Oryzias latipes: one gene and its partner. The protein of the gene in region 1 purifies or fractionates together with the protein of each later gene. This does not show direct contact. Links are inferred from orthologs where the notes say so. Each region holds a gene or a part of one and is shown in the gene's direction. Other genes may lie near its edges. The genes, in order: bsg and sympk.

Region 1 (4,569 bases):
CCTACTTTGTCGCGGTGTAACGAATAATTCAGAGGCATGAATATTCCTTGTGATTTATATGTATTTTTTTCATTCATTTTATTGTTATAAAAATGAGTATATCTGCAGGCTCAAATTTAGACATTTGAGAGTTCAAGAATTACAATAAATGAAGATTATTATTTGAATTGGAGTAATATTACATTTAGTTAGATAAAAATGTAAATTTGAGTTGTAAAAAAATATTGAGTTGGATAGACGTAAGAAATTAGGTTGAATAAATTTAACTCAATTACTTGTAACCAATTGAATTAATTTAAGTTGGATAAGTTATATATGCGTCACAATGAAAATTAGATCAGAAACTCTTGTGTTTACTTTGTCCATTCTTTTTCTCCAAGCAGAAACTCTTTCTTTTGCTGATGCAGCCGTATTAATTTATTGATGGACGTATAATAATCTTCATACGCCGTCAGTAAAATCTCAGACTCCGTCTCACTGAAGTACAGCGCTCTCTTTTTTTTCTCCACGCCTTTCCATGGTGACTCCGGAAATCGGCGATCCATTGAGAATGACTTTATGTACTTGACGTGCACGTGCGTTAACCCAGGGTTACCAAGTCAAGCGTAATTACGCCAACTCATATCCGGTCTTTTGGAACCGACATACCCAGAGTAAGCAAGTTCAGGCGGATTTCAGCCAGAGTTCAGGATTAAAGTCAGGATAGTTTAAACATGCTTTCTGGAATTCCCCCCAGGGGTATCAAACCCCTGGTATGGAGGGCTGGTCTGCTGCTAGTATTCCAGAAATCCTGCCTTATCTGCTACTGATTAACCTGTATCAGGTGTGTTTAGCCAATTTGAAGCTTCACTGACAAGTTGGATGGAAACCATGTTGGACACCGTCCCTCGAGGGCTGAATTCTGACACCCCTGCCTTAGAGGAAACAATTAACCAGTGTGGACTGTGAGAGAAAATTGGAGAAAACCCACGCATGCGCGGGGAGAGCATGCTAACTCCACACAGAAAGGTCACAACCGGGATTCAAACGGGGCCTTCTAGATATGAGGCGAGAGCCACTACACTACCATGTAGTCCAGCTTGTGGCGTGCCCAGCGTATTTTCTACGTCAACACAATTTTTTTTCAACTGCTTTTTTCTCGCCTGCTGTTGATTCACAACGATTTGAAACAAGAACAAAACAAAATACTCAGCACTGCAATTCTAATCTTAATTTTCTTTCTATGCGTCCTTCGTCATCAGAAAAATACTATAAGAGCATGTTAAAACACAATTTTCATCGGAGTGGGTCTTTCAAAGGTTTTAAACTTGATTTGTTCTGAAGCCTTCAATCTGAACGCCGCGGTTTAACCTCGCCTGACAGTTTCCAGGGTCTACGGTTCGCTTGTTTTATTTTTTTTAATAAACTTTATTATTCAACACAAATAGAACAAATATGTATGGTTCGCTTACACAAACAAAAAAAAGGCAAAAACACGAAACTTATAGGATTTCAAAGCCACACCCACTATGATGACGTCACGCATACGTGCTGGTAAGGGCGTGTCCGTTAAGTCATAGGAGAGGACGAAGTCTGCGGAGTGGTCTGCCGGCTCTGCCCGTTGGACGTTAGACTCACTGTGGAAGGAGGCTGAGCTGACCGACCGTCTCGATTCTTTGGTCGGACTAGAGTTTCCGCAGTAGACCATGAAGTTCTTGTGGGCCGTCACCGCCCTCCTTCTGGGCTGTTGTCGCGCTAACGCCGCCACAGGTAAAAAAGTCATGTCGGCCATGTTGACTTTGCCCTACCGCTAACATTTCATGTTTTTTTCTGACTTTAGCAGTTTAAATTTCCGATGTTATACCAGCTAGACATCTGTATTAAACCTGTAGAATCCCCACCGTGGGGCTGTACGGTTTGGACACATTGTTCCCTAGAGACCGGTTCTATAAAATCGACGTTTCGGCTAGCAAGACATTAGCTAGTTGTTGTTGGCGACCCAGAAAAATTTTCTGTCTGTTTGTTGATTAAAATGAATTTTAGATGTATTTTGTTGTCAGAATGCCTTACGTAATGGCCTATGTGGTACATGGAATATTTAACACCAACATGTTTGGTATCACGTGAGCGTCCGGTGTATTCGTAATTGCGTAATGTTTGAAGTGATTATCGTTATTAAATGGCGACCATTCGCTGTGGATTCGATGAAAGCGGCATATTAAGGACGACGGTCACGCGGTATTTGTCTCGCGCGCTCCTCCACCGGCGTCCGGGGAGGTGTTCTCGGACTCCCGACTCATGTCCGAACGAAAACCGATCCAAACAAACAAAACGTTCGTGTTTTTCCCAGAGGATCAATCTGTGTCCGTTTGGTACTCTGGTTAACATTTTCATTATTTAAACTAGGAAAAGAACCGTAATTCTTCATCGGGCACCCTATCTTTTAATAGTTTGCAGTGTTAGGCACAAAACTAGCATCTGAAGCATTCTCCTTTAAAGTTAAACCTGGATAAACGAAGTCTGCTGCTCTCTGGTAGGAGATTTTTTTTTTTTTTACACGGCATATCTAAATAAAGCTTTGTTATAAATGGCATTGTCAAGATTGAGGAGTGAATGTTGTGTGGGCTATATTTAATTTGAACTTTTAAAAAAAGCCTTTGCTGTGAAGGTGACCTTTCAACAGCAGGAAGCCATTACAAGTGTAGTTTGTTGAATGGGGGGTGTTAAGACAATAACCAGCATTACCACACCCTCTCAACAGCTCCAGTTTGTCTGTTTTGCCCCAAAGATGAGATTCGTCAGCAGATGACTTGGTTTTCTTATTAATCCCCACACAGGAATGTGGTCACGCTCTGCAGACTGAGCTCCTCCCCTCATTTTCTGTTGTTCTCAAACCTTTCACTCAGATCTCAGATGATGTTTTCTGCAGCCTCATCTTCAAAATATTTAATTATAAACCAGAATGTGTCGTCTGCAGTCTCCACGCTCAGATATGCTCCAAACAGAGCCCCCATTCAGTTGATGAACAATCCTGTTAACCTACTTTAAGTTCCTCGGTCCAGCTCAGTAAATGTGCTTCCTACATTTTTCTCTGTTTACCTTTTTGTTTAGTCATTGAGTGAATGCTCTGTTGCTACCATTCTTGTCATATATATTTTAGGGATGATCATCAAGCTCTTTGTGCTCATTACCATAATTATCTGTTTTTTATTTATTTATCCTATATTGATGTCTGCTTTGATCATTCCAAATTTAGTCAGATGAATCAGTCAATGTGATAAAATTTCCTTATTCATCTGTCTGCTGTCATATTTTCATTTTAACATTTTTTCTTTCTCTTTCTGTATTCTTTTTCTTCCCTAACATTTCATTTTTATCATCCGCCCATTTGAACTCATCACTTTCTAAATTCATCTGCTTGCTGGGTCTGCTGCTAATCAGCGGGTTTTATCCGATCCCCCCTGTCTCAAATGAAACTGATCGATGCCAGTGCAGAGCTGCATTGTGAGGTGATAGGGTACCCCATACCAGAAGTTCAGTGGTGGTTTGTTGAAGGGGAAGAGTCCAACGAGACTTTCACCCAGCTGTTTGATGGGGCTCATAACAACCGTGTAAAAATCAACGCCACATATATCGAACACGCCGCAAGCACCATTCACCTCACCAGACTTTCCCTTGAGGACACGGGCACGTACGAGTGTCGTGCCTCCAACGACCCCGACCGCAATGATCTGAAGAAGACTCCAAAAATCAAGTGGATCCGCTCGCAGGCAAACATTATTGTGATTGAAAGTGAGTGACAGAAGAACCCCGAGGAGAGTCGGGTCAGAGTGGTCATATCTGCATTAGTGAAGTTGTGGACCTCTTAGATCCTGTCCACACAACTGTCCTGTTGTCTGGTCCAGTTCCCTCCCTTCCCTTCATCTAGTGTGTTCTCCCCTCTCCAAAAGCACAACAGCTCTCCTGTAGAAGGTGAAAGTGGCCAAAAAACCTGTTCTGGCTGATCCTTTATCACCCGACGCGAACGTTTTCTTCCTTCAACCTGATGCCTTAAGTAACCCTTCCTACAAATTTTTATATCTTTTTCCATAAATAAAATCTATGAAACACTGGACTGAGGTGGAAATTTGGCAGTTTCAGTGATGAAAGTCTTCCGGGAATTCCCGGAAATCCGGGTTTTTGAGCAAACCGAACGTACTTTCCGGGAAATAAAGACCTGATCTCTACGGACAAATCGCTTTCCGGATTAAAAAATGGTCTGAAATCAGCTAATTTTAGCTTTATTTTCTATATTTCTCCGCAGATCGCTTCCTCTATGGTCGTGGCCATCTCTCGTCTTCCCGGCCTAATTGACCAATGACGGGACGTTTTAGTTGCTTTCGGATGCGTCGACGGGTCTGATTGGCTCTGTCTGCACCACGTGGTCAGCGTGACTTGCTTCCCTAGAGACCAAAACTGGCGGACCCACGCTAAACTTTCACAAACACATCTGAAGAGTTTGCGATCAAATTTGTGTTAAAATAATGGCAGGCATCGTCATTATTGAGCGTGCTCACGACCTCAGTTGTGAGAAGACGATAAAAAACAAAT
Region 2 (4,380 bases), on another chromosome or scaffold:
CTTGTGTGTTTGTCTCAGTAGAGTTTTGTTACACACTAAATGACAACCCACAGACAGCTGACAGACTGTCCTTACTGAGGTTAGCTCGGAGGAAGCCACCCAGATGACATCCACCAGAAGGAGTATCACCACCCCTAAGGCCATCCTCCTCCGCTGGGCTGTAGAGCTTCCCTGAGAGCTCATCCGGTTCATGATGAAAACCCACTCCATTGAGACCCTATAACAGACACATGACATAGAGGGGAAAACGAATATGATATTTTTTCCCTCTTTTTATTCTACTGTATGCTTTGCTGGAGGGACAAGGCAACAATGCCACTGTACATTGCTCTAAAGGTACAATTTATAAGAATATACCATGACAGATTCATATAGACTTTTAAGACAAGGTAAAAATGAAAAAAAGTTCCTTAAGACTGGGAAACCAGTCAAAGGCCTTTCCTACAGGTTTTTCCAATGAAGACCGTGGTTAACTTAACTAACACGTTGCAGGAAATACGCTTGTAAAGCATCACTAACAACAATACTCATAAACGCGTGTTACAAGTGATGATGTGCGTGTTTTCTACTAGACCTCCGCCTCTTTAAACAAAAATTCTGTTGCATGTTCATGTGGCAATGAATGTAAAACATAAGTGGTCCCAATGAGAATCAAAACTATGAGCACGAAACCGTCTGCAATTTAAAGATGTAAAATTAACTGATTTATTACGATACGACGTTCTGTATATTAAAAACAAAATAAGCACAGTTTTTACTAGCTGTATCCAAAACAAGCTTCGCAGTGGTACGTTTTAGCTGCCTGTTTTCCAAGCTAACTAAGAGCTAGTAAAATGTCCTACAAACAAAGTAACAAAAGCAATAACAGCGGCGTGTTCACCCGAATGCGAGGCGTATTCATTCACTTTTCTTCATTAGTTGATGTCCGATTGATCTTTTACATTACTGTTTCTAAAAAACAACACGTTTTAAACGAGAATATTTTACCACTCCAGCGGTTGTAAACATAAGCACTTCCTTGTCTTGTTATTAGCATCAGGTGACATCACTTATCCCGCTAAGCCTCATGGGACTTGTAGTTAAATGGTGATCGATTAAAAACATTTGAAATGTGTCTATGGCACATATTTTGTTTCCCATGTGATGTAAACAATACTAGTGTTCTTATTAATAGTTAAAAAATAAATAAACAAAAATAGCTTAGAGGCACACAAATCCAGCAGGAGGCGCTGCTTTTATTTGAGTATCCGAAAACAGCCGAAGAAGAACCGTACCATAGCTTCTTCGATGAAATATGGCGGTAGCTTTGTTTGCTTGCTAGCAAAGTTAATTCATATATTTAATAAGTACTAAAACAAGGCAAATCTTGTTGTCTAATAGATCATATTTGTAATTACCCGTTTAATACAAGAGTTAGTGTATCTATAACGCAGTTGGCTTAGTAAAGTAGATTATTATTTTATCGTTTTGGCTAACCTAATGTTACGAGCTAACTAACTGGATTCATTCTCATCATTCTGGTAATCGTGTAGGTAAGTTAGAAAAAAATACTGACTTGCGTATTGAAATTTGTTTATTTAAGTATTATCAATTGAATATGTGTTTCTGTAATACATACGAATGTTTGTAGTCTGACTTAAAACGTTCAGTAATTTGAATTAAAATATAGATGTTATGCGTAATTCTCGTATTGTTATGTATGCTCTAAATTATTATTATTATTTCTGTTTTCCTTTCAGGATCATGCAAGATTATTACTGACTGGAACATCAGCAACATGGACATTTCTTCTAAGGCGGAGGACACTCCGAAAGGGGTCGATATGACCACCAGTGAAAAGGTCTGTACAATTAGCACAAGATGAAAGATTTGTTTACAATCTCAGGGACAACAACACAATCTGGAGGTAGCAGACTTTAAAACAGAAATATTTTAATCTGAAATTGTTCATATAAAGCATTTTAAGTCTTAAAATATACATCTAGAAACACAACAAATCATTAAATGCTTTTTGTGTGATGCAAGTTAAATCTTGATCTTGCTATCTAAACATTCTTTATTTTTTAATCTGCCATCGATTTTGTTCTGATAAATTGCAATATATAAGAAATATTTACAATTGCTGCAGTTTAATCTAAATGGGGCTGTAGTCTACATTTGCAGTTGTCTGGGGTTAATAGCTAAGAACACCTCATTTGGCTCAAACATGCTATATAGTAGAAATTATGCTAATATTTTTTGGCTGGTTAGCCTCTTATTGTAGCGTTGTAGAGACTTACTCTGGTTCTTTCTTTTCTCAGGTGGTGGAGCTTCTGAATCAAGCTTCTCTCATACCCACTGATGAAAAGCTGACTGCTCTCAAACAGGTTGGTAGTGTAAATCTGTGCAGTTTAGATGACTGCTACACAGCAGCACCGACTGAGGTGCTGATGAGGTGGTTGTAAGAATTTGAAGTCACGCGTTTGAATTTCCTTTAGGTTCAAGAGCTCATCATCAACAAGGATCCGTCCCTTCTTGACAACTTTTTGGATGTAAGTAAGCACCTGCCTTTCATGGCAAAGGAATGGTAAGCGTGTAAGTTAAAATCGGCCCAGTCATGTTCTTGTATCTTGCCAATTCTATTTTACAGGAAATAATAGCGTTTCAGACCGACAAATCAATAGAAGTGAAAAAGTTTGTCATTGGATTTATAGAGGAAGCATGGTTAGTTGTTTGTGTCAACATTTTACATCTTATACACTTTTAAATGTATGTATATTTATTGAAACTCTTTTTTTTTTATATCTATTTCCCAACTAGTAAAAGGGACAATGAGCTCCTTGTTAGACTTATCGCCAATCTAAACATGCTGCTGAAGGATGAAAGTGTAAATGTGGTGAAGAAAGCCATTCTGACACTCACTCAGCTCTATAAAGTAACATTACAGGTATGCACCTTAAAGTCACTCGCATAATTTCCTGCTAAAATAATAGGAATACGGTGTTTTTATGTTCCCACATCTTCTGTTGTTTCTTTTCTGCCAGTGGTTGGTCAGCTCAAAAACACTGTCAGAAATGCAGGAGGCATGCTGGGACTTGATCACTCAAATGAAAGGGGAAGTGTTGGCCTTGCTGGACTCCGACAATGATGGTGTTCGCACACACAGCATCAAATTCACAGAATCTTTAATCATCACTCTCTCGCCGCGGACACCTGACTCTGATGTACCCAAACGCCAGGATGCTGACATTAGCCTTGACAAAGTTCCCAAAGACCATTCGTACATTCACTACGGTAAAGATTTTAGAACTCTCTTTTTTTTTTCTTTTTTTTTTTTTTAAACAGGCATGTTAAAATCTTTCTTACTGCAGGATAGATTTATTACATTCTGTTGAATCAACAGGTACTTTGTGTGAAGAAGGAAAGAGTGCACTGGAAAAGCTCTTAAAATTCATGGTCCACCCAGCTATATCCAGCATTAACCTCACCACTGCATTGGGTTCTTTGGCAACGATTGCCCGTCAAAGACCAATGTTCATGTCAGAGGTGGTGCAAGCATATGAGACCCTCCACGGTGAGTGCTTCTTAGTCAAAAAAATATATATTATCCCCTTAACATTATTATTAAGGTGCAATCATTAATATTTATCTTTTTTTCTAGCTAACCTTCCCCCCACTCTGGCCAAATCTCAGGTTAGCAGTGTTCGAAAAAACTTAAAGCTGCACTTGGTGGCAGTTCTCAAACATCCGTGCAGTGTGGAGTTCCAGGGTCAGATCAGCACTTTGCTGCTGGATCTGGGAATGCCTCAGACTGAGATAACTCGAAACACTCCTGTACCACGAGAGCCTCGCAAGAGGCCTCGCTATGAGCAATACACAGAGGGAAAGAAGGTCAAGATTGGTGAGTAGTTCACCACAAAAATGCAGACTGCCTTAGAAAATAACATTTTTATAAAAAAAAAACAGTCTTTAAAGGACTTGTTGAAAGATTACGAGTGTTTGTTTTCTTGCCATCACTTGCAGAGGCTGTAACTTTGCTTTACTTAGTTTTTCTTTCTGCACAGGTTAGTCTCTATTGCAGCAGCATCACACCCAGAGATTCTTTAGATTACTGTGTGGTGACTCTGTAGTTTTAGATTGACTAATAGAAATAGAATTTTAGATTCAAAATTTTAGGTTATTCTTGCTCTTTTCTTAATTCCCCCACGGTTTATATTTTAATGTTTCATTTTGTGCTATCAGTGTGGATTATAAATTCACTATGGATTTGTTTTAATTTGTGACAACAATTACAGACATTTTTTGAATTTAAAACATATTTTGGGTACTCCGATCCCGTTTCATTACAGGTTTTCTTTTCTTCTTCTTTTTTTATTCCAATAATGTTGTTTTTGGGAATAT

What was found.
Region 2: the proteins of bsg (region 1) and sympk purify together in Homo sapiens (co-immunoprecipitation; 3 studies listed by BioGRID and IntAct, counting the BioPlex papers as one, with this or other methods). This does not show direct contact. The link is inferred for Oryzias latipes from reciprocal best matches to the Homo sapiens genes BSG and SYMPK.

The regions. Positions count from the first base shown.
Region 1 is NC_019862.2:7,112,708-7,117,276, forward strand, and holds the start of bsg (basigin), read left to right. Parts: upstream 1-1,538; 5' UTR 1,539-1,685; coding exon 1,686-1,749; intron 1,750-3,420; coding exon 3,421-3,771; intron 3,772-4,569.
Region 2 is NC_019879.2:16,691,103-16,695,482, reverse strand, and holds the start of sympk (symplekin), read left to right. Parts: upstream 1-1,268; 5' UTR 1,269-1,532; intron 1,533-1,739; 5' UTR 1,740-1,777; coding exon 1,778-1,840; intron 1,841-2,300; coding exon 2,301-2,366; intron 2,367-2,477; coding exon 2,478-2,531; intron 2,532-2,629; coding exon 2,630-2,703; intron 2,704-2,799; coding exon 2,800-2,926; intron 2,927-3,023; coding exon 3,024-3,273; intron 3,274-3,382; coding exon 3,383-3,553; intron 3,554-3,640; coding exon 3,641-3,880; intron 3,881-4,380. Other genes in the region: slc35f5 (solute carrier family 35 member F5), read right to left, coding at 76-217, 988-1,046. UniProt on the Homo sapiens protein: Scaffold protein that functions as a component of a multimolecular complex involved in histone mRNA 3'-end processing. Specific component of the tight junction (TJ) plaque, but might not be an exclusively junctional component. May have a house-keeping rule.